Caenorhabditis elegans: one gene and its partner. The protein of the gene in region 1 interacts with the protein of each later gene in a pairwise test. Each region holds a gene or a part of one and is shown in the gene's direction. Other genes may lie near its edges.

What was found.
Region 2: the proteins of daf-5 (region 1) and daf-3 interact in binary tests that used the Caenorhabditis elegans proteins (3 or more experiments, as listed by UniProt).

What each region holds. Positions count from the first base shown.
Region 1 is NC_003280.10:14,030,092-14,041,272, reverse strand, and holds daf-5 (Ski protein homolog), read left to right. Parts: upstream 1-3,551; 5' UTR 3,552-3,558; coding exon 3,559-3,803; intron 3,804-4,766; coding exon 4,767-4,882; intron 4,883-4,976; coding exon 4,977-5,160; intron 5,161-5,459; coding exon 5,460-6,678; intron 6,679-7,316; coding exon 7,317-7,436; 3' UTR 7,437-8,053; downstream 8,054-11,181. UniProt on the Caenorhabditis elegans protein: Probable component of transcriptional regulatory complex with SMAD protein daf-3. Required to regulate entry into a developmentally arrested larval state known as dauer, in response to harsh environmental conditions.
Region 2 is NC_003284.9:817,719-830,033, reverse strand, and holds daf-3 (Smad protein daf-3), read left to right. Parts: upstream 1-4,607; coding exon 4,608-4,632; intron 4,633-4,771; coding exon 4,772-4,960; intron 4,961-5,864; coding exon 5,865-5,966; intron 5,967-6,187; exon of another isoform or gene 6,188-6,192; coding exon of another isoform or gene 6,193-6,220; coding exon 6,221-6,376; intron 6,377-6,423; coding exon 6,424-6,575; intron 6,576-6,621; coding exon 6,622-6,861; intron 6,862-7,055; coding exon 7,056-7,190; intron 7,191-7,342; coding exon of another isoform or gene 7,343-7,351; coding exon 7,352-8,012; intron 8,013-9,302; coding exon 9,303-9,433; intron 9,434-9,612; coding exon 9,613-9,734; intron 9,735-9,778; coding exon 9,779-9,831; intron 9,832-10,163; coding exon 10,164-10,335; intron 10,336-10,538; coding exon 10,539-10,845; intron 10,846-10,893; coding exon 10,894-11,030; intron 11,031-11,608; coding exon 11,609-11,714; downstream 11,715-12,315. UniProt on the Caenorhabditis elegans protein: Transcriptional regulator and common SMAD (co-SMAD), required to regulate entry into a developmentally arrested larval state known as dauer, in response to harsh environmental conditions.

The sequences.
Region 1 (11,181 bases):
GTTCCAAATTTTTCCAGATTTTGACTAACTTTTTCATAACTTCCGACAACTTTCGGCTACTTTGCTCCACATTTTGTCAGATTTTGACTAGCTTTCTCTAACTTCCGCCAGCTTTCGACTAACTTTTTTCAAGTCTTGCCAGATTTTGACTAGCTTTCTCTAACTTCCGCCAGCTTTTGACTAACTTGTTCCAAATTTTGTCAAATTTTGACTAGCTTTCTCTAACTTCCGCCAGCTTTCGACTAACTTGTTCCAAAACTTCCGACAACTTTCGCAAACTTTCGACAAATTTGTCTGACTTTCGCTAACTTATCATCAAAAGCTTTGCCACTTTTGTCAACTTTCAACCAACTTTTGTCAAACTTTGTTCAGTTTTCGCAAACTTTCGTCCACACTCGATCGACTACCTTGTAGCTCTTAACAACATGGTGCATCGACACACCCCAAAATGTTCAGACTCTCACGTCTTCAAAATCCGATTTCCGGCGGAACTCCGCCTATCCATATACTCTCACTTGTTACTTTGACCCTTTCGTCGCCAGAGGCGGAGCCAGCGAGCGCTTGAACTCGTGAGCTCGGCAAGAAAAAAAAAACGACATCTAGCACAAAAAACCACGTAACGAGAAATAGACGAGCAGACAAAGCGAGAGAGTGCACAACGATGCCGTCTAGCCCACCTCATCATGAAGAGGAGCCCGAGCAGAGATGCACAGAGATAGAGAGAGTGAGAGAGAGAGATAGAAGAGGCGAGACAGCCCATCAACTGCGTCTAGACGTCTTTCCACATTTTTCAACGATCCACGCGCGCGGGCGCCCGGCGCCCTCTTCTGCAGAAACATTCTTTGCTAGCACAGCAACATGGAAAACGAGAGAGAGACTCTGAAGAAGTGCGGCGAGGAAGAAAAGTTCGGTCACATGTCCTCTCCCCGTCTTTTTTTTTTTTTTGCGCTTCGCCGTTTGGTCGCAGTCGTTAGTAGTGTCTGTTTGTGTGGAAGACGACGCGACGGGAGGGGTCTCTGGCGCCAGACTTTTCACTCTTTTTCTCTTTTCCTCGCTGATGTATTTGAAAATATCGGTGCGGAATGTTGTTTATGTATGTTTCTTGTTCTTTATTTATGGACCCCCATCATTTTTGCACTTTTGGTTTTTGAACATTTCCATGGTTACCGTGTGTGTGTGTACTTTGCTCTTAGAATCCAAGCTCCATATTTTTGGATAATTACTATGTTTAAGTGTCATATTTGTTTCCTGATAAAAAATGTGTCACACTGGTCTTTAATCTTTAAGCCCTCGTTTACCTATCGTATCGCCTCTAGAATGAGTCGCTATCAAAAAGTTTTCCACTAACGAATTGTGGGCAACTAACAAAATGTAGAACTATAGTTCTACATTTTGTTAGTTGATAACTTTTTGCTAAGTGATTCTGTGATCTATAACTTTGAGCTCTTGTATCTCCTTCAACATAATCGCTATCAAAAAGTTACCAACTTGCAAATTGTTGCTCTTAATCTGTTTTACGTTATGCCAGTTGACAACCTTTTTGGTATTTCTTGATTCAAAGTAGCTAGCTTTGATCTCCAATATCTCCTCTAGAATATGTGTTATCAAAAAGTTGTCAACTCACAAATTGTAGCCCTTAATTAGTTCTACATTTTGCTAGTTGTAACTTTTTTGATATCTCTTAATCCTACCTAGCTACAACTGTTTCAAGTCACATCTTTCTCTGATTATTTTTTTTCCTGTATTTCCACAGACTACACTGATAACGTCTATAACGCTAATCCCTCAGTCACATCTTGTTTTTGCAGTTTTTTTTTCTTGTTATTTTCAAGCAAAATAATAATTTCAAAAACCATTAGGTGTTCAAAATTCATGTTTATGTAGGAAAAATACATCTGCATTTTGGCTTCGAAAATTCTCACGCGTTCCTCACGTATAACGCATAAGCTTCCAGTTGTTTGGCTTGATTTCTCATGAATTGTGCACAATTTTTTTTGAGTTGAACGGCTTTGGGCAGTAATATCTATAGATAATTATATGCCATTGTGTTTTTTGTGTTCTTTCAAATTTTCGCTGACGTTTGTCATGTGGCGCTGAATTTCCAAAGTTTATTTCTCGTGTCACAACTTTGAGCTAATGTATCTCTGTGGGTATGAAAGTTATCAAAAAGTTGTTTACTAACAAAATATTCAACAAAAAAGTTTGTACAATTTTTTAGTTGATCACTTTTTGTATCATCAATTCCTGCAGAGATAGGCTGCTCCAATCTTTGCACACCTGAAACTACTATGTTTCAATTTTGAGCCATCATATCTCGGTTGCTTTGTGAGCTATCAAAAAGTTGTTAACTAACAAAATATTCAGCAAATTTTTTTCTACCTTTTGCCAGTTGATTAAATTTGTGTTCCACCTATTCCTGTAGAGATAGACTGCTCCAATCTTTTTGCACTTTTTTTGAATTCTATGCTGTCTCATCTTTGAGCCACCATATCTCAATTGCTATAAATGCTATAAAAAAGTTGTCAACTAAAAAAATGTTCAGCAAATTTTTTTCTACATTTTGCCAATTTAAAACATTTTTGTATCTACGCCACCGACACAGCTATAAGCTTTTTCGCAACAACAACAACTTATTGCTCTTTGCTCCACCACCACCCCATCTTCTATCTATCTTTTCGCATATACAAACACATTTCCAACAAGACCATACGAATCAAAAGATCGTACGTAGTTCCTCCTCCCCCCTCCCACCTACTACCGCCAGCACTGTCTCACTCTTCATCTGTCCCTCTTCTTTCTCGCCCACTTGGCTTTGCGATAGGAACCCAATGTTGCAATGTCCGTCCGATTTCTTCGGGGGTCTAGACTACATACATTTGTGGTGCTACATTTTTTTACTGATTTTCTTAGAAGTTCATATTTCAATTTTCTAATTTCTGGGCTACTACCGGAAATATCTCTAGACGTCCTAGCCTCCAAATCACAATGTTTTTTCGTAACTTTCAAAAGTGTAAGATCATATGTAAATCTTGACCTATAAGACTATATCCACCTTCATCAATTCCGTCACACTTTTCGTGTTCTTCTTTGTTATTGTAGTTAATCCTAATCCTCCAAGATCTCTGATAATCTTTTTTTTTTTCCTATTTTTCATTTCGAAACTCAAAATGTTCGGGCTCTCAAGTCTGGCATAGTAAATTTTACTATATTGTGTCAATAGCGTCTGTTTGTGCTCTCGCAGCTAGTCGATGGTCAAGAGTTCAACACGAAATGGGCGGATAGCGGCGGGCACACGAGAAGCAGCAAAAAGACACGCCTTCTGGGGCGGAGCAGAGTTTCTGTCTCGCCGTCTAATTCCTCATTTAACACCTTTCACAGATTTTTGCGCCAGGCCAGCTCATCTATCCTCACACATCACATGTGATTTGTGTTCTGTGTGTCAATATGCCACATCATTGTTATTCTGATAAATATATATTTCGTCTGTACATATTTTGCATTTTCGCTGCTTCCTCCCACCCACCCTTACCTAATTCATTTCCTTATTACAGATCCTATATGTCCGACTCGCCGATCGGCTCCTCGCAGCAGGTGGAGCCGGAGCACCGAACCCCAGACCTCATGGACATTGATCCATTGATTGCGAACTTGAAGGCGTTGCATGAGGAGACGAGATCAGACGACGATGATGATGGGCAACCGTCGACGTCGGCGAAGCGGAAGGATTCTCGAGCCGATGGGATTGTGATCCATCAGAAGAAGTATAGCGATCCGGGGAGATTCTTGTGGATTTGGTTGTTGGGGTGAGCAGACTTTTACTGCTGAAAAATGGGCTTAGGCTTAGACTTAGGCTTAAGTTTGGGCCTAGGCTTCGGCTTAAGCTTAGGCTTCACTTCAGGCTTAACCTTATCCTTTAATTTAGGTTTAGTCCTATGCTAAGATTCCTACGGAATTTCAACTTTTTTTCTTTTTTGCTGACAAATAGACTTTTAGGATTAAGCTTAGGCTTAGGATTAAGCTTAGGCTTAGGCTCTGGCTTTGTCTCAAGCTTAGGCTTAGGCTTAGATTTCTGCGGAGTTTCAATCTCCTCGCTTTTTCAAAATCGCGAAACCTAGAACCAAATGTCGAGAGTCTCAAAAACCCCCTAATGAGTCACATTTAATTTCACCTGCTCGACATATATCCTCAAAAAACATTAAGCAACACAAAAAAAAGAGAGGGACTCCAAAAATCACATCTCTCCCCTTCCTCATTCTATCCCATTGCTTTTTTCTCCGCGCACTTCTTCCTTCTTACTAGTGTCTAGCCAAGGGGTCCCAAATCATTATGCATTCACATTTGAGGCGCGCGCGCCCCTCACAATGTCACATGAGGGTGAGGAGTAGCTGCAGCAGAAAAAGAAGAAAAAGAAGAAGGAGCCTGCAACATTTTGTCGGAGCTCAAAAGAGCACATCCTGTACGTACACATATTTCGCCCCGCCGCCACTTCAACCTGAGCAAAGGTCAGCGTAAAGCTTTGGGGGTGCAGCGAGAAGTCTGGGACAACAAGCCTAGTAGCGTAGTTTTATTTTCAAAAAACAATCACAAGACCAAGAAGTCAATGGCGTCATCGTCTAAAAAACAGCAAAAATATTTCCACAAAAACATGGTGCACTTCCATGTTTTCGATAGGGCAGCGTGTTCACTCTATTTTATTTTGTTATCCAGGCGACTAGTTTGACTAGTTCCGTCTAGACCTCGGAAAAAAAAATTCAAAATTCTTGCAGAGTCCGTGTCCCAGCGTTGTCCATCGATGGGGAGCCACACCTGCCGATTGAGATTCTCGATGATATGCTCACAAAGAAGGACAAGAAGGATCAGATGTCGTTTCAGAATTTGCTTCGTAAGTTTTTTTTTCTTTTAGCATGATCTCTCTCGGGAACACCAGGCACCCTCGACCCTTTTAACAGGACTTTGCTGAAAAGGTAATTTTCCAGGCTACAAAAACGTCTACATCCGAATGGCGTCGCCATCCCAGTTCCGAGCAGTCATGGAGAAGAGCAAGGAGTGCGAAAACCTCAACATCACATCGCTGAGCCTGATGAGCCGGTCGGACATTGAACGGATCATGGGCGAGCTCCGCCTGGAGAGCATGCTCACGTTGGCCGAGCACGACAACTGGTAAGTGTGGCGAGCCTAAGTTCCACTAGCATAAACACTCCTGTGAGGCCGGGGCAGCTCTCTAATTAGAAGCAAGCTCCGGACGCCGCGCTTCCTACGCATCTCTCACTCTAAATAGAGAGCCCGACAAGAAAACAATTTCTCGGCCAAAGCTCATTTTTCAAAAGAGAGAAGAGACATCATCTTTCGAGTCTCTTTGAATATCTGAATAGTTTTCGGGGTCAAAAGGCCAAAAACTCAACTAAAAAAAAGACAAAAAAAACCAGCTAGACCAACAAAACAACCAAAGCCATTTCCAGGGACATCTCCGATCGAGTTCACGTTGTGCACGTCAACTTCATCGACTACTGCAGCGAATGGTTGGAGAGCGATGACTTGGAGGAGGATGTGATGCAGAGTGGAACACACGGCTATTGGTACAAGAATCGGCGGAACATGCGATGCATCGAATGCCAGCATTGTGAGGGAAAGTTCACACCGACCGACTTCATCATGCACCATCACTATCCGATCAAGCCGAGCGGTTTTGTGCACACCGGCTGTAACAGCTTCCAGTGGATTCGGCTTATTGAAGTATTCGATAAATCCAATGAGAACCTGGAAGCCTGGAATAAATTTGTCCTGAACTCGCACAGAGCTGGCAAGCGTGAATACGATGAAGCTGCGCCGCATCAGGCGCCGCCGAAGAGACCCGCTATGGAGACACCTGTGCCGGTGGCCGCGGACAACGGCTGGGAAGCTGATGAAGAAGAGGAAGGCGAGGAGATTGTGGATAGAGATGCAGATATTGAGAAGTGCAAGTTGAGGAACAAGAAGAAGATGGAGAATCTCCATATTGCCGACTTCCTCGGACCATCTGGATCCAAAGGCCTAAAGCCTAGAAACAAATTTGAGGCAGTCATCATCGAGCAGCTTAACAAAATGGACGATGCAGCTCTCGAGGCTTTATTCCTGAAATCGCCTGAAGAATACAATTTGTGGGTGAAGGAGTCCGATTTCACACATAAAGTCGTCACGCAGCAGCAAGAATGGAAGGCAAAGATGAAGGATCCGAACTTTAAGAGTCGAGCGTCAGCGAACTTCGACGTTTCCAAAGGAGAGTTCGACAACATGCGCCACTTCGACAATGCCTCCAAAGCCACGCGACAAGAAATCCAGCAGCTCGCCGAGCAATTCGCCAATCTCGATCGCGACGCCAAACTTTTGACTCCAATGGAGTTCGTGTTAAGAGAGCACGCGTTGCTCAAGAATGTCTCGGCAGACGCGATACGTGTACTGTGTAACCGTCCGCCACTGCCGCCACTGCCGCCACCGCCACCGCCACCAAAACCAAAGCCGGCTCCGGTACAGCCGATCTCGTTGGGAAATATCAACTTTGTGGCGTTAGCCCAGCAGCTGATCGCGTCTGGGATCAAGCTTCCTCTGCCGATTGTGACACCGCCAGTGGTTTCTACGCCGGCGCCAGTGATTACGCCGATTCCTGCAGCGTTGCCGATCTCGCCGAATTCTGATTTTTTGGTAAGTATACATGGGGAGTTGAATTTTTTAGAGCTCCCGTTTAAGCACTCGTAGATCTAGAGTTGAAGAGACACAGACATTCCTCCGTAAATCGACACAAATCGGCTCTTCTTGCTCCCGCGCCCTGGGTCCCGGGACGTCTGTGTCTCTTCACACTCGCTGGACCTGTGCTGCAAACACCAACACTTTGATTTTACTCCAAAATACAGAAAAGCTGATATCTCGGCTCGTTTTAAAGATCTTAGAAAATGAGAGCTACATCACGTGGTGACATGCTGTCCCATTACGGTTTGATCTACAAAAAATGCGGGAATTTTTCGCCAAAAAAAATGTGACGTCAGCACGTTCTTAACCATGCGAATTCAGTTGGGAACTCTGCGTCTCAACTCCCGCATTTTTTGTAGATCTACGTAGATCAAACCAATATGGGACACTCTGACAGTGTATTTTTTCCAACTTTCACGACTTTAAAGAAGGGCGCATTTATTCAAAATGGTCTCGCCACGCGCTCCAAAAATCGATGGATGGCGCGTAGCGAGACCTTTAAAGTCGTAAAAGTGTAGAAAAAATACACTGCTACTAGTTTGTGATTTGCGCTTATTAATTTCTATTTTGAAATTAAATATAACTAATTCCAGAAACAACAACTCTCCACGGCCATGTCATCTCCAGCTCTTCTCTCCCTCTACCCGAAGCTCACCGCCGGTGCCTATGAGCAATTGGCCCAGTTTATCAAAACCACCACCGTCAAGAATTGATTAGATGATCTTTCTTATTCCATTATGTATTCCTTTCTCCTTCAAGCCAAACCTATCATTCCTTCATGTACAAAACACTTGTGAGAATTGTTGCACCCCACCCCGGTTATGTACATATATTGAAAATGACGCTAGTCGTATTGTTTTTAAATTCATTTTACCTCTCTGTCTGTCTCTTTCTCTCTTTCTGTCCCACATCTCTCTCGCCACTTGCCATACTATTAGGTACCTCTTTTCCCCATTTTTTTCATATTCCTATCTGTTGTTAACACCGTCCTCTCCACAACAAAATACGCACTTTAAAAAATCAATGTATCTCTACCAAATGCTGCTACTCGAAAACTTGTACCTATTTCTAATAATCTTTTCGGTTCGAAATTCCTCTTTTTAATAATCACTTCTTTTTTTCTGTTAATATATATATATATATATGCTGCCCGGTTCAATATGTATTTTGTCATTCTTGAGTAGCCAAAATCCCCCCAACTCCCCCCTTCGATTCAGGACAGTCTCCATCCCAAAGCAACAGTTACGGTATCACTGCGTTTTTTATTTTCGTCGTTTTTTCTATCTATTTGTGCAAATTGAATTTGACATTCAGTAATGAACGTATTATTTCTATTTTTTGGCACATTTTGCCGATTTGCCGGAAGTTTTTAGTTCCGGCAATTTGCCGGTTTGTCGATTTGCCGGAAATTTTCAATTCCGTCAATTTGCCGGTTTCACAATTTGCCGGAAGTTTTCAACTTTTTTTTCAAACGTTTGCAGTGCTCAGGTTAAGTTTTCAATTTCGGCAATTTGCCGGTTTGCCGACTTGTCGGAAATTTTCAATTCCGGCAGTTTGCCGGAATTTTCCGGTTTGCCGACTTGCCGAAAATTTTCAATTCCGGCAGTTTGCCAGTTTCCTAATTTGCCGGAGGTTCTCAATTCCGGAAACTTGCCGGTTTGCCGATTTGCCGGAATTTTTCAATTCCGGAAATTTGCCCGTTTGTCGATTTGCCGGAAAAAATCGTTTACCGCCCACCCCTGGTGTGTCTGCTTAAACATTAAAATAACTCATTTTTGTGTCATTTTACTAAATTATTGGGGAAAAAATCAAGTTTTGGTCAAAATTTTTCAAAAACTTTTCGCCACAAGTTAAACTTCGGACAAAGTATTTATTACCCTTAGTAGTATTCTTACTAGATTCTTCTTACTCCGACTCCCTCTCCCAATCATACGGTGCATTGATGTCAACACCGGCGGTAGTACAAGCATCTGCGAGCAGCTTGTAGATGAACTGGTAGTCCACACGATCTTGATAGACTCTCGAGTCGATGTAGTCGAGGATCTTGTTGAGTTCACTACTCTGCTTGATTCCAGCAAAGAGTTTATCACGCTTTGTTGTCCGGCATGCTTGCTTCATTTTCAGAATCTCATTCCAGTCCTGGAGATCACGCCATGGAACATCTTTTGGAAGGATGAGGCCGAGCAGCGTGTAGAGCCAACTTTCACAGTCATCCTTGGGGCTCAGTTCAGTTTTTAGGTGGCTTGCAATCGATGCGAAACGAGAAATTCCCTAGAAACAATTTCACTAATAGAGTTAGATACTACGCTCACCTTGAACCCCACATTTCCTCTTCTTGCGGACTTCTGCTCATTGTTGGAGTTGACATACTTCCGCGCGAATATAAAGTTGAGAAGATAAATGTTATGCCGTTTGTCACCAAGTCCACATGCATAGTGACCAGTTCTCAGGTCACGATGAACGAATCCCTTCTTATGCAACTCTTCAATTGCCTGCTAACACTGGCGTGCTGCTCCGAGCCCAGTAGCAGATGAGAATACTTTATCAGCTCGTTCTTTTTTCAAATCAGCCAATGACTTTCCAACTTGTTGCAAAACCAAAAAACAGAAATGATCTCTGTCTTTTCTCCTGCGATCCACAATTTTCTGGAAGTGTTCACCGCCATCCACCGATTTCAAAACAGAAATCTCCATTCTCAGCTTTTCATTGCGTCTTATTTCTGTTTGTTCGATTTTCATTGTGAACGATTGCTTTTTTGCGATATCATTTACCAAGTACTCTCCAACAATAGTACCGTCAAAGAGTTGACTAAGTATCACGTATTTGGCTTCACGGCTTCTGATTATGGTTCCCTGAAAGACCACTTTATTGAGAACACAAAAATATGAGGCTACTAGCTAGGCGTGCAGGTAGGCAAAACGGCAAAGTAGCCAGAAGGCCTAGGTGGATGCATTGGTAAGTAAGTAGGTAGGCATATGTAGGGAGACGGGGAGGCTAAACACGCAGGCAGGCAGGCAATTTCAAGCAAGACGATAAGCTGGCACAAAGGAAGGATTACTTGTAAGACATTTTGAAGCTAAAGTGCCAACTTTCCAATAAAACTCACAGGCTTAAATTTGTCCTCTTCTTCCGATTCTGATTTAGTCATCTTTTTGGTTTTCAGAATAAATTGGCGAGTTAAAACTAAATAATGTTAAATATTTTTAATTTAAAATTTCATTTTTACATAGTTCTACATAAGTTCACGGCGTACATCAATTCATTTTAAAAAGCGTAAGCAAATCTAGGCAGAAATGTAGGCGTAGACAGGTACGGGAAGGCAAACATGGAGGTAGGACCAGTAGGCAGGCAGGCTAACAGCCACTTTTGTACCTACACAATAACTTCACTTTTTTAAAAATTACTGGTTTCAAAATTTTTCTTCAAAAATATTCCCCTCATTGATAACAGATAAAATGCCCTTGATAAAAACGTCTCAGAGAAAGCGAAATTAGGCTCCGCCTCTTTCTTACATCGTAAGTGGACAGGTTTCTGAGAGGAATTTTTTAGTTGGTGAGAATATGGATCAGATTTTGCAACTTTTTTATTCTTCAGTTTTTGACCGAAAAGTTACCAGCTTTCACTTAAACTTTTTTAAGACTTGAAAATTACGGATTTCCCATGTACATGGTGTTCTAGATAAGGCAAAATGTTCTAGATAAGGAAAAATTTTTAGCAAAAGGTGGATAAATTTTCGGTTGAGATATTAATTTTTTCTAACTACTCAAAAATATAGAGTTTTCGAAAATTGGAAAAATTCAGCAATTTGGTAATTTGCAGAAAAAATGCCTAAATTTGAAAATCTGACAATTCTTAGATAATGAGGGTTCTAGAAATTTTCGGAAATTGCCAAAATTATCAATTTAGTCATTTCCAGATAACTTACATTTTTTTTTTGGTAACTAGAGTTATAAGATAAGTTTGTCCAAAATTTCCGAAATTTTCTAAATGAAGTTTCCAAAAAATCAGAAATTTTGCAGGTAACTGGAGTTAAAGCATATGATAAAATCCCCAAAAAATGCTGAAATTTGCCGAAATTCAGAATTTCGGCAACTTTGACATTTTTTGGTAACTGGAGTTAAAAGTTAAAAGATAAGTTTGTCCAAAATTGCCCAAATTTTCTGAATAAAGTTTCCAAAAATTGCTGAAAAATGCCGAAAATTAAAAACTCAACAATTTTCTCGGTAACTGGAGTTAAGACACATGATAGAGTGTCCAAAAATTGCCGGATATTGCTGAAATTTCAAAGTTCAGCAACTCATAAATAGCAGAAGCTTTAGAATTAACTTTGCGGGGGTAACTAAAGTAGGAAAATATGAAATAGTTGCCGAAAAATGTGCCAATGCGAAAGATATTTAAAATTGGCAAATTTTATGAATTCGACTTTTTTGGGTTTTCAAGGCAAATGCTCTTTTACTA
Region 2 (12,315 bases), on another chromosome or scaffold:
TGCTCATCTGGAATGAACTGTGTTTTGAACCCAATCTGGAGCAAAACATTTAGCGAAAAAAAAACAATGTTCGACTTCTTGAATACTAAACAAAAAAGAATAGTTATGGCTTATGGCCAAAATTTTTAAAAATTAATTTTTCAAATAAAACGTGAGTTATTTTTCAATTCTCCGGGTTAGGAAAATCCTACTTTTAAGCAAAAAAAATTGTTATCACGTTATATTTTTAAAAAAAGTATGAATGAAACTTTTAATTTATTTTCAAAATATGGGTTATAAGTTCCGAAAAATTAGTATTGTAGCTCCATATTTTCAATTAAACAAATTGTTTTAAAAAATTACATCTCTAAAGTTTGTCAGAAACTACTTTCTATGCTTGCTGAAAAAATAAACTTTCCCATAATTTTCCACTGCAAATAGTTCAGTTTGAAACAACCTAACCGCTTTGAAAGCAATAAGGTTAACTATTTTTTATTAGAATCATCTTGTAGATTGAAAAAATGAACACAGACCCCTTTTCCATTTCAACTTTTGAAGTACTTCTGCAAAGCTACAATGCAATTTGCTTCTAATTAGTTTTCGATTTCCCGCGTTCTCAAACCAATCAAGTTCGAATTGTTTACTTGGTGTTCCCATAGAAAGTTCAAAAGTTCATTTTATTTTCCCGTATAATATGTACACTTCTCTCGGTCAAAGGAAAAGAGAACGCATAAGTGCCATCATTCCGAAGAAGGTCACCGTGATTGTTCTTTCGACAGGACAATAACTTTTCTGGATAAAACGGGTCTAAATAGGTTGGAATCTTGCAATAATCTTGGCGGTAGAAAATAAAAACACGGATTTTTCTGATTTTCCAACCACTTTTTTATCTTGCCACAGTTGCTATAATTTTCAGAATCTCGAAAATGGTTTCGGCAGTTTTACTCGAATTAAAAAAGTCACCAAACTATAGAGAAAAATCCACAAAAATTATATATGGGGCACGACAGAAAATGCACGCTATGCAATTTGCAATATTTTCAATGATTATTTTATCGAATTATTATTTTCACGGTTTTTCTTCCATAAAACATAAAACATACCAAAAAGAGGTTTCCTTCTACTACCTTATTATAGATGACTACAGTTACTGCACAGGTGTCTTTTTCTCAGATTACAATCTCAATTGGTGTCATCGACATAGCCTTTTACTTTTTCTGGTGGTTGACACTGTCTTACCAGATTTTTGAGCTACAAGGCAATTTGGAGAAATTTTTTTTCTATTTTTTTGTTTCAGTTCACGTTTGACTTTTTAGAAATGCGGTTTTACTTTTTTTGAAAATCTAGCAGTTATAGGATACCTCTCCGATTTATCCCAAAAAGTTGCGTTAATCATGGAAAGTATCACCCACAATTTCTAAATTTATAGGCAGGTTTCAAGCCAGCCTAGATTTCAATAATTATTGTAACTTACTGAGAGATAAAGCATAGTTTTTAAATGCTTTAGTGGTTACTTTTAAATTTTTATCTATTCGTCTTTTTTTGATTGAAATATCAATTTGTAGCGGTGGCAGGCTGTTAAGTTTAAAATTTAGTAGCAGCTGTTTTCAGTTGTGTTAGTTTTCACTAAAGTTGAAAATTGCTCGTAGTTTGATTTTTTTTGTGACTTTAGTTTTATTTTCACGTGTTTTCATATAATGAGTCATCAAACAACACAAGACATTTTCTATGAAATTTATGAGACCTGATATTTCAAGCCGTTTCTGAGAGTTATTTACATATTCAAATTATTGAATCCTGATTGCTTCTGTATATTTTGTTCAGAATTTTTTTTCAGATTGTTCTAAAAACTATCGGGGAACTATCGCAACTTTTACCACAAAATTATTTTGGAACTTTTTTACTATTAGTGACAGTGAGATCTACCTTGGGATTAGGTTAAGATAATTAGGATAATTAGAATAAATGAAGATAACGAATAACATATGTGGAAGGTAGATCAAACATGATCTTTGTAAAAAATTGCGATACTTGTTTCACTGTAGTAGTTATAGCGTCTTTTCTCCGTTTGACCTTTGGATTTTGCACCCAATTGACATGTATTTTTTTCAACTGATGTGACGTCACATTTCTCATGGGCACGATTTTCCCGCACTTTGGGACCTGAGAGAGACGGACTATAGACGATGCACTCTATCAGTTTAAATTTCAAGAAAATTGAATTCTTGATAGAACCCAACTACATTTCCGTGTTGTACCCTTATGCCTACTGCCATCTTCTTTTTTTCTGCCAGCAACAAGTAAAAACAGAAGAATCGAGTCAAGATATGCGCAACGGGGATACACAGACAACGAAATTGTGTCAGAAATAGTGAAGGCATAGAAGAGGCCAACCGGGTACGCGTGGCTCCTCTTCAGCACTTTCTCTCTCTCTCTCTCGCCCTTTTCCATCTAACAGCTTTTTTGCTTTTCTATGTTTGTGTGTCGTTTGATTATAAATTAGGTGTGCTTTTGAGGAAAACATTGGATTGAAAAGAACCTTAGAGATTGATCAGGCGGGAGGAGGAATGAAAATGAAACATTAGAGTGGAAATAGTATATTTTTTCAAAACACAATCATATCAGATTTTTGTTATAAATTAATGAATAGTTTTTAAATCCCCATTTCTTAAAGAAAATTTTATGAATGCTCCACATATCTTATATGCCTCTGTAAACATTTTAAAATTCCGTGTTCACAAGTTTAGAGTACAAGAAAAGTGTCTTCAATAAAAATTGAACTTTTTGTTTCTGCTGTGATATCTTTCACGATAAAATCTTTTGAAAAACCATCGCTTTTATAGTACTAGAGGTGTTAATAATTGACGGTTTCAAGGCTAAGATCACGCGATTCTTTAGTTGAATTTGTTTTTTGATTGTTTGGACTGTGAGATTGTAATTTTTTTAATCTTGTAAGTTTTTGTGCAATGAAAAATGCCTTAACGACTTTCATATAAATTTCTCTTATTCCTCTTGTTTAAAATGTCTACCACAAATTTTTAACAGTTATAACTAAATTGGGCAAAATTTGTTATTTCAACTTTACAAAAAAAATTTAACTTTTTTTGAATACTCTCTGTAGACGCGGTTTTTTTTTCAGAATTATGGTGGCCACCTTTTCAATAAAAAAAAATTATCTGAAAAATGCCATGGTCTCTCTGACCTTCGGCCCACATTGTATCTACGGATTTCATTCAAATATTTGCGGTTTTTTTTGACCGCTTGATCAAACTAATGAACTTTCATCAATGCAAACAAAATTTTTTCGCCAAAAGCAAATGACTAGCCAACTTTTTTTTTCTGTTTATGTTCAAATAGTTCAGTGGTTTCTTGTTAATTAATTATGACACAGTTTTGGTCACAAAATTTGAGCGTTTTTTTCGCTGAAACAATTGCACAAATCTAATACAAAACATTCTGATATCACACGCATCAATTTGGCGAGATTTCAAAAAATCAAACTGAGATGAGACCAGTGAAAACAAAAAATATATATGAGTCATCTAGAAAGTGATCTATACATTTTGTAGATCTTTTTTTAAAAATTGTGATGTTTGAGTACTTACAATGTAGGTCTACCACTTATTTTTTCTAGTTAGCTCACTATTTTATGCTTAGCATAGGTCAAACTACCCTTATAAAAAAAAACAATTATTTAGGTAAAAACGCTTGAAGTTCTTTTTTTCCTTTGTTTTGCACGAGAGGTTTTTTGTAAGTTTCTTATCAATCTCTTTTTTCAGTAAAAAAAGATCAAAACATCAAACCGAGGTCATGTGCACTCTCTTGTAGCTCTCTACTTGTTCCCTCATTATCTTATTCCCCCCGTCTTCTCACTTGTTGGTCCAACTACGCTCAACTTATCGATTCTTTGCAGCGAGCACTGCCACCTCAACACACTTTTAGCAATGAAATAGTGTGCTGGGCGAAGAGACGCAGACACACGTACGTAGTTTAAGAGTGAGCGAGATAGAGTGTGCGTAACGAGAAAAAGAGATAGAAGACGAAGAAACAAGTAGTGGTTTGGTTTCGATCTTTTTTTTTTAATTTGGGATATTTTTATTTTTATTTTCGAATTGTCAATTATTATTATTAATAGACTGTCAAAAATTACTTTTAATACCCCGTATTTGAACACGTTCTTTTTTTTATTTCTCTTAAATTGATTCCAAACAAGTTCCTATTAACACAATTCTTTTCAATTTTCTTTTCGAAATCATAATATTTTTTAAAAGTTAAATCTGTGGTTTTTTGGTTTTCCTTTCTGAATATGTTTTTACTGAAAACACCAAAAAATCTTGACAGTAGCTCAAAATATCAAGCTTTACAATTAAAGTTTTTCTCAACTTTTTTTTTCCCCTATAAACACAATCTCCCTTTATTCCCAAAAATACCACGAAACATGATATTTCAAAAAAAAAAGACAAACAGGTTTATACCACAGTTTGTACCTTTTATTGTCCATGCTGGTATTGTATTTCCTACTTCTTTGCCGCCCGGTTTTTCCTTGTTGTTTTAATTTTATTCCAAAACTCAATTTTACAGGTAATCAAATTGTAAAGGAAAAATATTAATAGTCAGAGTACACATAAATGGGTGATCATCATAATTTAACGGGTGAGTTTTTGTTTTATTGAAATTACTTTATTTTCGGAATGTTATTTAAAAAAAAGTTACAGTTTGAATAAAAAAACAGGATCTTCTGTTTCAGTTTTGAAAAAAAAACCAATTCCATAGTCCATATCCCAACTTACAGGCCTTCCCGGTACCTCCATCCCGCCACAGTTCAACTATTCTCAGCCCGGTACCAGCACCGGAGGGCCGCTTTATGGTGGAAAACCTTCTCATGGATTGGAAGATATTCCTGATGTAGAGGAATATGAGAGGAACCTGCTCGGGGCTGGAGCAGGTTTTAATCTGCTCAATGTAGGAAATATGGCTAATGGTGAGTTTAAATAGTAGCTATAGGAGTGAAGTGTTTGGAGTGTCGTGTTGGATATAAAATATCAATTAAAATAGATTCGAATTATTCAGAAAATCGCTTATTTTGGTAGTAGAACAAATGTTGATAAGTTAACAGACATCTTCTTTTTCCAATTAGTCTTGCACCCGAAGTGACTAGTTGGAAAATAGCCTTGCAGTTTCTATTAATTTTGTACATACTAATCTAGTACATTTCTAGAGAAAATTTTAGTATTTTAAGGTGGCAACGAGTAGTGCGGAACTCAAAATTCTCTTACATTCTCTTATATCTACTTACATTGAAAATTAATTTTGCACTCAAAAAATACCAAATAAAAAATAGGGTACTTGTTCCCGCTATTTTTGAAATTAATCAATTTTTCATTAATTTATCTATTTAAATTAAACTTGATATCTATTTTCTTCGTTGGGCTCAGGAATGGTAAATACGAGTTTTATAAGTTTTTATTTTATAAGTTAAAAAATTAATTTCTAAAATAGCGGAAGCATAATACACAAGTACCAAAAATAGTTATACATGCAATTTTGTCCATAGAATACTCTGAAACAACCTTGGTATTAGCTGCAAAACTGCAACATTATCAATTTAAAAAGGTATTTCTAATTGCAAATAAAATCGTAGCATTTCTAACAGTTGCCTAATTCTCGCTTTCTATTTTCAAATTTCAATTTTTTTTAAACTTTCAAGTAATGCAAACTCTGTAAAACACTGAAATCTAGTGAAAACCAAATCAATTTCCCTACGTGATTAGTAGTCGTGGTGTATGGTGGTTTGTGTTGGTTTGATATGCTTATTTTCCTTTTTGTTTTAAAAACCTTCCCCGTTTTGTTGCTTTTTAAATTTTACATTTCAAACTGAAATTCAGAATTTAAACCAATAATCACATTGGACACGAAACCACCTCGTGATGCCAACAAGTCATTGGCATTCAATGGCGGGTTGAAGCTAATCACTCCGAAAACTGAAGGTAAATAACGTCGAACATAGTAGTATAGCTTGAAAATAAAAAAAAACGTTGAATATGATGCATAAATGGTGCAATAGAAGGTTCAAAAGAATTTGTTGCCAACAAAAAATCTAAAATTTCAACACGAACCTCATGATGTTTACCGTCTGGCAGTCACTAACACACGTATTGATAAGCGAATTGTTGCCAAATTTCGTTGCTTATCAAACCTTATTTCTCTCTGACCATGAAGCTAATAGCAACTTCTCTTCTAGTTCCCGACGAGCACACACCGATGATGTCACCAGTGAATACAACTACAAAGATTCTACAACGGAGTGGTATTAAAATGGAAATCCCGCCATATTTGGATCCAGACAGTCAGGATGATGACCCGGAAGATGGTGTCAACTACCCGGATCCAGATTTATGTAAGTGGCAAAAAAAGTGTGAGCAAAAGAACTTAATATATTTTCAGTTGACACAAAAAACACAAATATGACCGAGTACGATTTGGATGTGTTGAAGCTTGGAAAACCAGCAGTAGATGAAGCACGGAAAAAGATCGAAGTTCCCGACGCTAGTGCGCCGCCAAACAAAATTGTAGAATATTTGATGTATTATAGAACGGTAAATACTTAAGTTTGTAGTACTGATTACAATATTGCATTTTCAGTTAAAAGAAAGTGAACTCATACAACTGAATGCGTATCGGACAAAACGAAATCGATTATCGTTGAACTTGGTCAAAAACAATATTGATCGAGAGTTCGACCAAAAAGCTTGCGAGTCCCTGGTGAAAAAATTGAAGGATAAGAAGAATGATCTCCAGAACCTGATTGATGTGGTTCTTTCAAAAGGTACAAAATATACCGGTTGCATTACAATTCCAAGGACACTTGATGGCCGGTTACAGGTGAGATCAAAAAAAATTTCTAGGACACATTTTGAGCCTATAGACATTAAATTATGATCTTTCAACGAACCTACGCTAGATAAATGATCCGACTTTTAAAAGTTTTGGAATTTATTTTGAGACGTTTCATTATGAAACTTGTATTAGACCAGCTTATGATATCAAAGTACCCACAAACTCCATACAAATTACAGGTCCACGGAAGAAAAGGTTTCCCTCACGTAGTCTATGGCAAACTGTGGAGGTTTAATGAAATGACAAAAAACGAAACGCGTCATGTGGACCACTGCAAGCACGCATTTGAAATGAAAAGTGACATGGTAGGTGAAGTAAGTGTGAATTGTTTCATTTTTCCTTTGATGTGATGTGGCACATGTTAGCTTCTTCCCTTATTCGGTTAACTCTGTGACCTTTGTTTGATTAAGTTGATTGCCTAATGTTGAGAAGATGTGACTTTTAAAAGTTTTAATATGAATATTAGGCCTTACAGGTATGCGTGAATCCCTATCACTACGAAATTGTCATTGGAACTATGATTGTTGGGCAGAGGGATCATGACAATCGAGATATGCCGCCGCCACATCAACGCTACCACACTCCAGGTCGGCAGGATCCAGTTGACGATATGAGTAGATTTATACCACCAGCTTCCATTCGTCCGCCTCCGATGAACATGCACACAAGGCCTCAGCCTATGCCTCAACAATTGCCTTCAGTTGGCGCAACGTTTGCCCATCCTCTCCCACATCAGGCGCCACATAACCCAGGGGTTTCACATCCGTACTCCATTGCTCCACAGACCCATTACCCGTTGAACATGAACCCAATTCCGCAAATGCCGCAAATGCCACAAATGCCACCACCTCTCCATCAGGGATATGGAATGAATGGGCCGAGTTGCTCTTCAGAAAACAACAATCCATTCCACCAAAATCACCATTATAATGATATTAGCCATCCAAATCACTATTCCTACGACTGTGGTCCGAACTTGTACGGGTTTCCAACTCCTTATCCGGATTTTCACCATCCTTTCAATCAGCAACCACACCAGCCGCCACAACTATCACAAAACCATACGTCCCAACAAGGCAGTCATCAACCAGGGCACCAAGGTCAGGTACCGAATGATCCACCAATTTCAAGACCAGGTACGTATGATTTAAAAAAAAAACAGTTGTTGTAAGGAGAAAAAGTTATTCTGACAGTAGGCATGAGGGTTGAACTAGAGGGACGCCGCAATTGCAAGAATTGTCGATTGCCGAAAATTTCCGACTTTGAACGGATGTCGGCAGGATGTGCCGGTCCGCTGTCAGGGTGGGCGGCAATTGCCGTTTGGCAATTTTTTTTGTCCACAAATTCAGCAAATCGCCGGAAATTTTCGATTCCGGCAATTAGCCGGTTTGCCGATTTGACGGAAATTTTAATTGAAGCAATTTGCCGATTTGCCGATTTGGCTGAAAAAATCGTTTGCCGCTCACCCCTGGTTTGGTGTTCCAGCCGAGAGCTAATAATTTTAGTCACTCAGCCACACAATACTGCCACCTATCAAGGCATGGATTTACAAAGGTTTAATATCTCCAGGTGTCAAACCAGAAACGGCAAAATATTATTTATGGGTACCTCATTATATAAAGGGGTAGAATATAAGTAGGCGGACAGGTGCATAGCCAATTCCCGCAGTTTAATCCTTTTTGGGATGTCCATTAACAGAGCCTTATTTGAATTTTTCTATTGGATTTTCGCCCTTTTCCGATGAAAACGAAGCGTTTTCAAACTTCACTAAAAGTGCAGCTTTTACAATTTTGACTAAATTGCTCTAGAATTAAGTATGAAAAAATTTTATGAATAGTATTGAGAGTTCATATTCTTTCGCAAAATAATCAAGAAATCTCTGCAGGAAATTTAATGTTAAGTTTAATCCTTATACATAAATTCTAATATAAGTACTTGATAATAACGAGAAAGGATGAAGCCCCTCAAATATTTGCCTTTTAAATTTGCACGTAGGTTTGAAAAGGCATCAATTTTGCAAATTTTTTTTTCGATAAACATTTTGCAGTTTTTTTATTTTAGATCTCATCAAAATATCTTCTTCTGGTAGACACATGTAATTTATTTGAAATTGATTGGAAAATGCCAACTTACAACATTTTGAAAAGGTGTCCTGCCAATTTCATATCAGTTATCAGATTTATTTTCTAAAAAAATAGCCAAGTTGAGACCACGAGGCGTATGATTATAGTTGTATAGTCGGTGATTTATTGCATAAAGAAGTTGGTTTAAAAGCAGTGATTTTGATTCTCAAAACTCATTTTTTTAGAGATTTTCTACAGCCGCTTTGCGAACAATTTTACTTTTCATCATACATGATACATTTTTTTGTCGCCTTTTCAGTTCATTCCTAAAATTTGTAAAACTTGAAGTAAACTCAATTACAGTGTTACAACCATCAACAGTCACCTTGGACGTGTTCCGTCGGTACTGTAGACAGACATTTGGAAATCGATTTTTTGAAGGAGAAAGTGAACAATCCGGCGCAATAATTCGGTCTAGTAACAAATTCATTGAAGTAAGTATTTCTAATATGTAGCTACTATGTACGTGTCACTCAAGATTGACAGCTTATCGCATATAAGTTGTGTCGATAAGGTGCCAAACAAAATATTGAATTTAATGTCACTTTTTGCTTTCTGAATCATCAAACAAACGATTTTTGTTTTTCATTCAAGAATATTGTGTTTTTTCTAGGAATTTGATTCGCCGATTTGTGGTGTGACAGTTGTTCGACCGCGGATGACAGACGGTGAGGTTTTGGAGAACATCATGCCGGAAGATGCACCATATCATGACATTTGCAAGTTCATTTTGAGGTTCGTTCTAGTTTTCATGGAATTAAAAGCCAAGTATTTTTTAGGCTCACATCAGAAAGTGTAACTTTCTCAGGAGAGGGGCCAGAAGTTAGTGATTGTAAGTTTCTTTTTTTTCTCTCTAAAGTTCACTTTAAAAAATCGTGTTAGTGATTGAAAACAAAATGAGTAATTATGTATTATACCCCGCCAACATAAAATTAAATTAAATTTTCATTCATAACTTTATTTAAATTAAACGTGATATGGATTATCTTCTTCAGATTTAGAAATGGTTATCATCAAGAAATCTTCCACACGTTTTCATGCTTTATTTCTTAAAAACTTTCATTTAAAACGACGGGGATATAATACATAAATACCCAAAAATGTAAAAGATCAAGTAAATTTAAAATGTTCACAACATAAAAAAAAACTGCTTGCTTTTTTCAGTGAACGAAAAATGGGGAACAATTGTGTACTATGAGAAAAATTTGCAAATTGGCGAGAAAAAATGTTCGAGAGGAAATTTCCACGTGGATGGCGGATTCATTTGCTCTGAGAATCGTTACAGTCTCGGACTTGAGCCAAATCCAATTAGAGAACCAGTGGCGTTTAAAGTTCGGTAAGTAAATCTGAAACTTATTGATATATTATAGAACATAGGTACAATTTTTTTTACAATCCAATTTTTTGGGCAATGACAGTATCAGGGTAACAATCCAATCCAAATTCGGAAATGTTGTTCGATAGTTTCCAGCTTATGAATTTTCTAACTAAAGAAATAACACAAATTTTTAAAGCTTTTGAACCATTGAAATGTTTCAGTAAAGCAATAGTGGATGGAATTCGCTTTTCCTACAAAAAAGACGGGAGTGTTTGGCTTCAAAACCGCATGAAGTACCCGGTATTTGTCACTTCTGGGTATCTCGACGAGCAATCAGGAGGCCTAAAGAAGGATAAAGTGCACAAAGTTTACGGATGTGCGTCTATCAAAACGTTTGGCTTCAACGTTTCCAAACAAATCATCAGAGACGCGCTTCTTTCCAAGCAAATGGCAACAATGTACTTGCAAGGAAAATTGACTCCGATGAATTATATCTACGAGAAGAAGACTCAGGAAGAGCTGCGAAGGGTAATTTTGAGTGTAAGATTTTGTTTGAAGTTATAAAAATATATTCAGGAAGCAACACGCACCACTGATTCATTGGCCAAGTACTGTTGTGTCCGTGTCTCGTTCTGCAAAGGATTTGGAGAAGCATACCCAGAACGCCCGTCAATTCATGATTGTCCAGTTTGGATTGAGTTGAAAATCAACATGTTAGTTTTTTTTTTTCAAGGCCCTTGTGGTCCCATCAAAATTTTTGAAAGTTGGCTAACTACCTTTTGGGCCCTAGGACCGCCAGAATAATTTCTTAAATTTACGGGTCTTATTATCAAGCTTCGGTACAAGCATAATATCGCGCAGTTTACAATTCATGTATAGATTGAAAAACAATATTTTTTACTCTTGAAACTAAATTTTGTTTCGAATTTCAACATCGACAGCTTATAGTTGCCGTTTGACTCATTTAAAAACTATCATCTGAAAAATATTTGCTAATTGTTCTCTATCGTTTTGAGTTGATTGTTTATGGATATGCCTCTCGCCTCATTTCTGCACTACATCGAGAAGTAAAAGACTTGGTTTTTACAAAAAATAGTGTGAGAGACGATTTTTCAACGCGCAGCAGGCGGAAGCCCGCCGCAAGACGGGCATGGCAGGCGTTCTTGCGCCCTAAAGTAAAATAATCGGGGTACTAAAACTCCTATTACCTGAAATACGGTATGTTAGTAATCTAAAGTAGTTTTATAAAAAATCCCATGTTCATTAAAAAAATCCCAATGTGTAATTTCAGTGCCTACGATTTCATGGATTCAATCTGCCAGTACATAACCAACTGCTTCGAGCCGCTAGGAATGGAAGATTTTGCAAAATTGGGAATCAACGTCAGTGATGACTAAATGATAACTTTTTTCACTCACCCTACTAGATACTGATTTAGTCTTATTCCAAATCATCCAACGATATCAAACTTTTTCCTTTGAACTTTGCATACTATGTTATCACAAGTTCCAAGCAGTTTCAATACAAACATAGGATATGTTAACAACTTTTGATAAGAATCAAGTTACCAACTGTTCATTGTGAGCTTTGAGCTGTATAGAAGGACAATGTATCCCATACCTCAATCTTTAATAGTCATCAGTCACTGGTCCCGCACCAATTTTTTCGATTCGCATATGTCATATATTGCACCGTGGCCCTTTTTATTGTAACTTTTAATATATTTTCTTCCCAACTTGTGAATATGATTGATGAACCACCATTTTGAGTAATAAATGTATTTTTTGTGGACATCATGTTTAAATAAAGAAAACATAGGCAGTTTGTTAGGAGTTAAGTACACTTTCTGGTAAACTTAATGCCCCTTAAACTTAAATTACAGACAGAGAACTTATAATTTTCAATAGAGAAAAAAACAGACTTTCAGCGATCGGAACTCACACCAGCTACTCAACTACGCCTTTTTTGGTAAATCTTCTACAATAAGAGCCGAAGGTT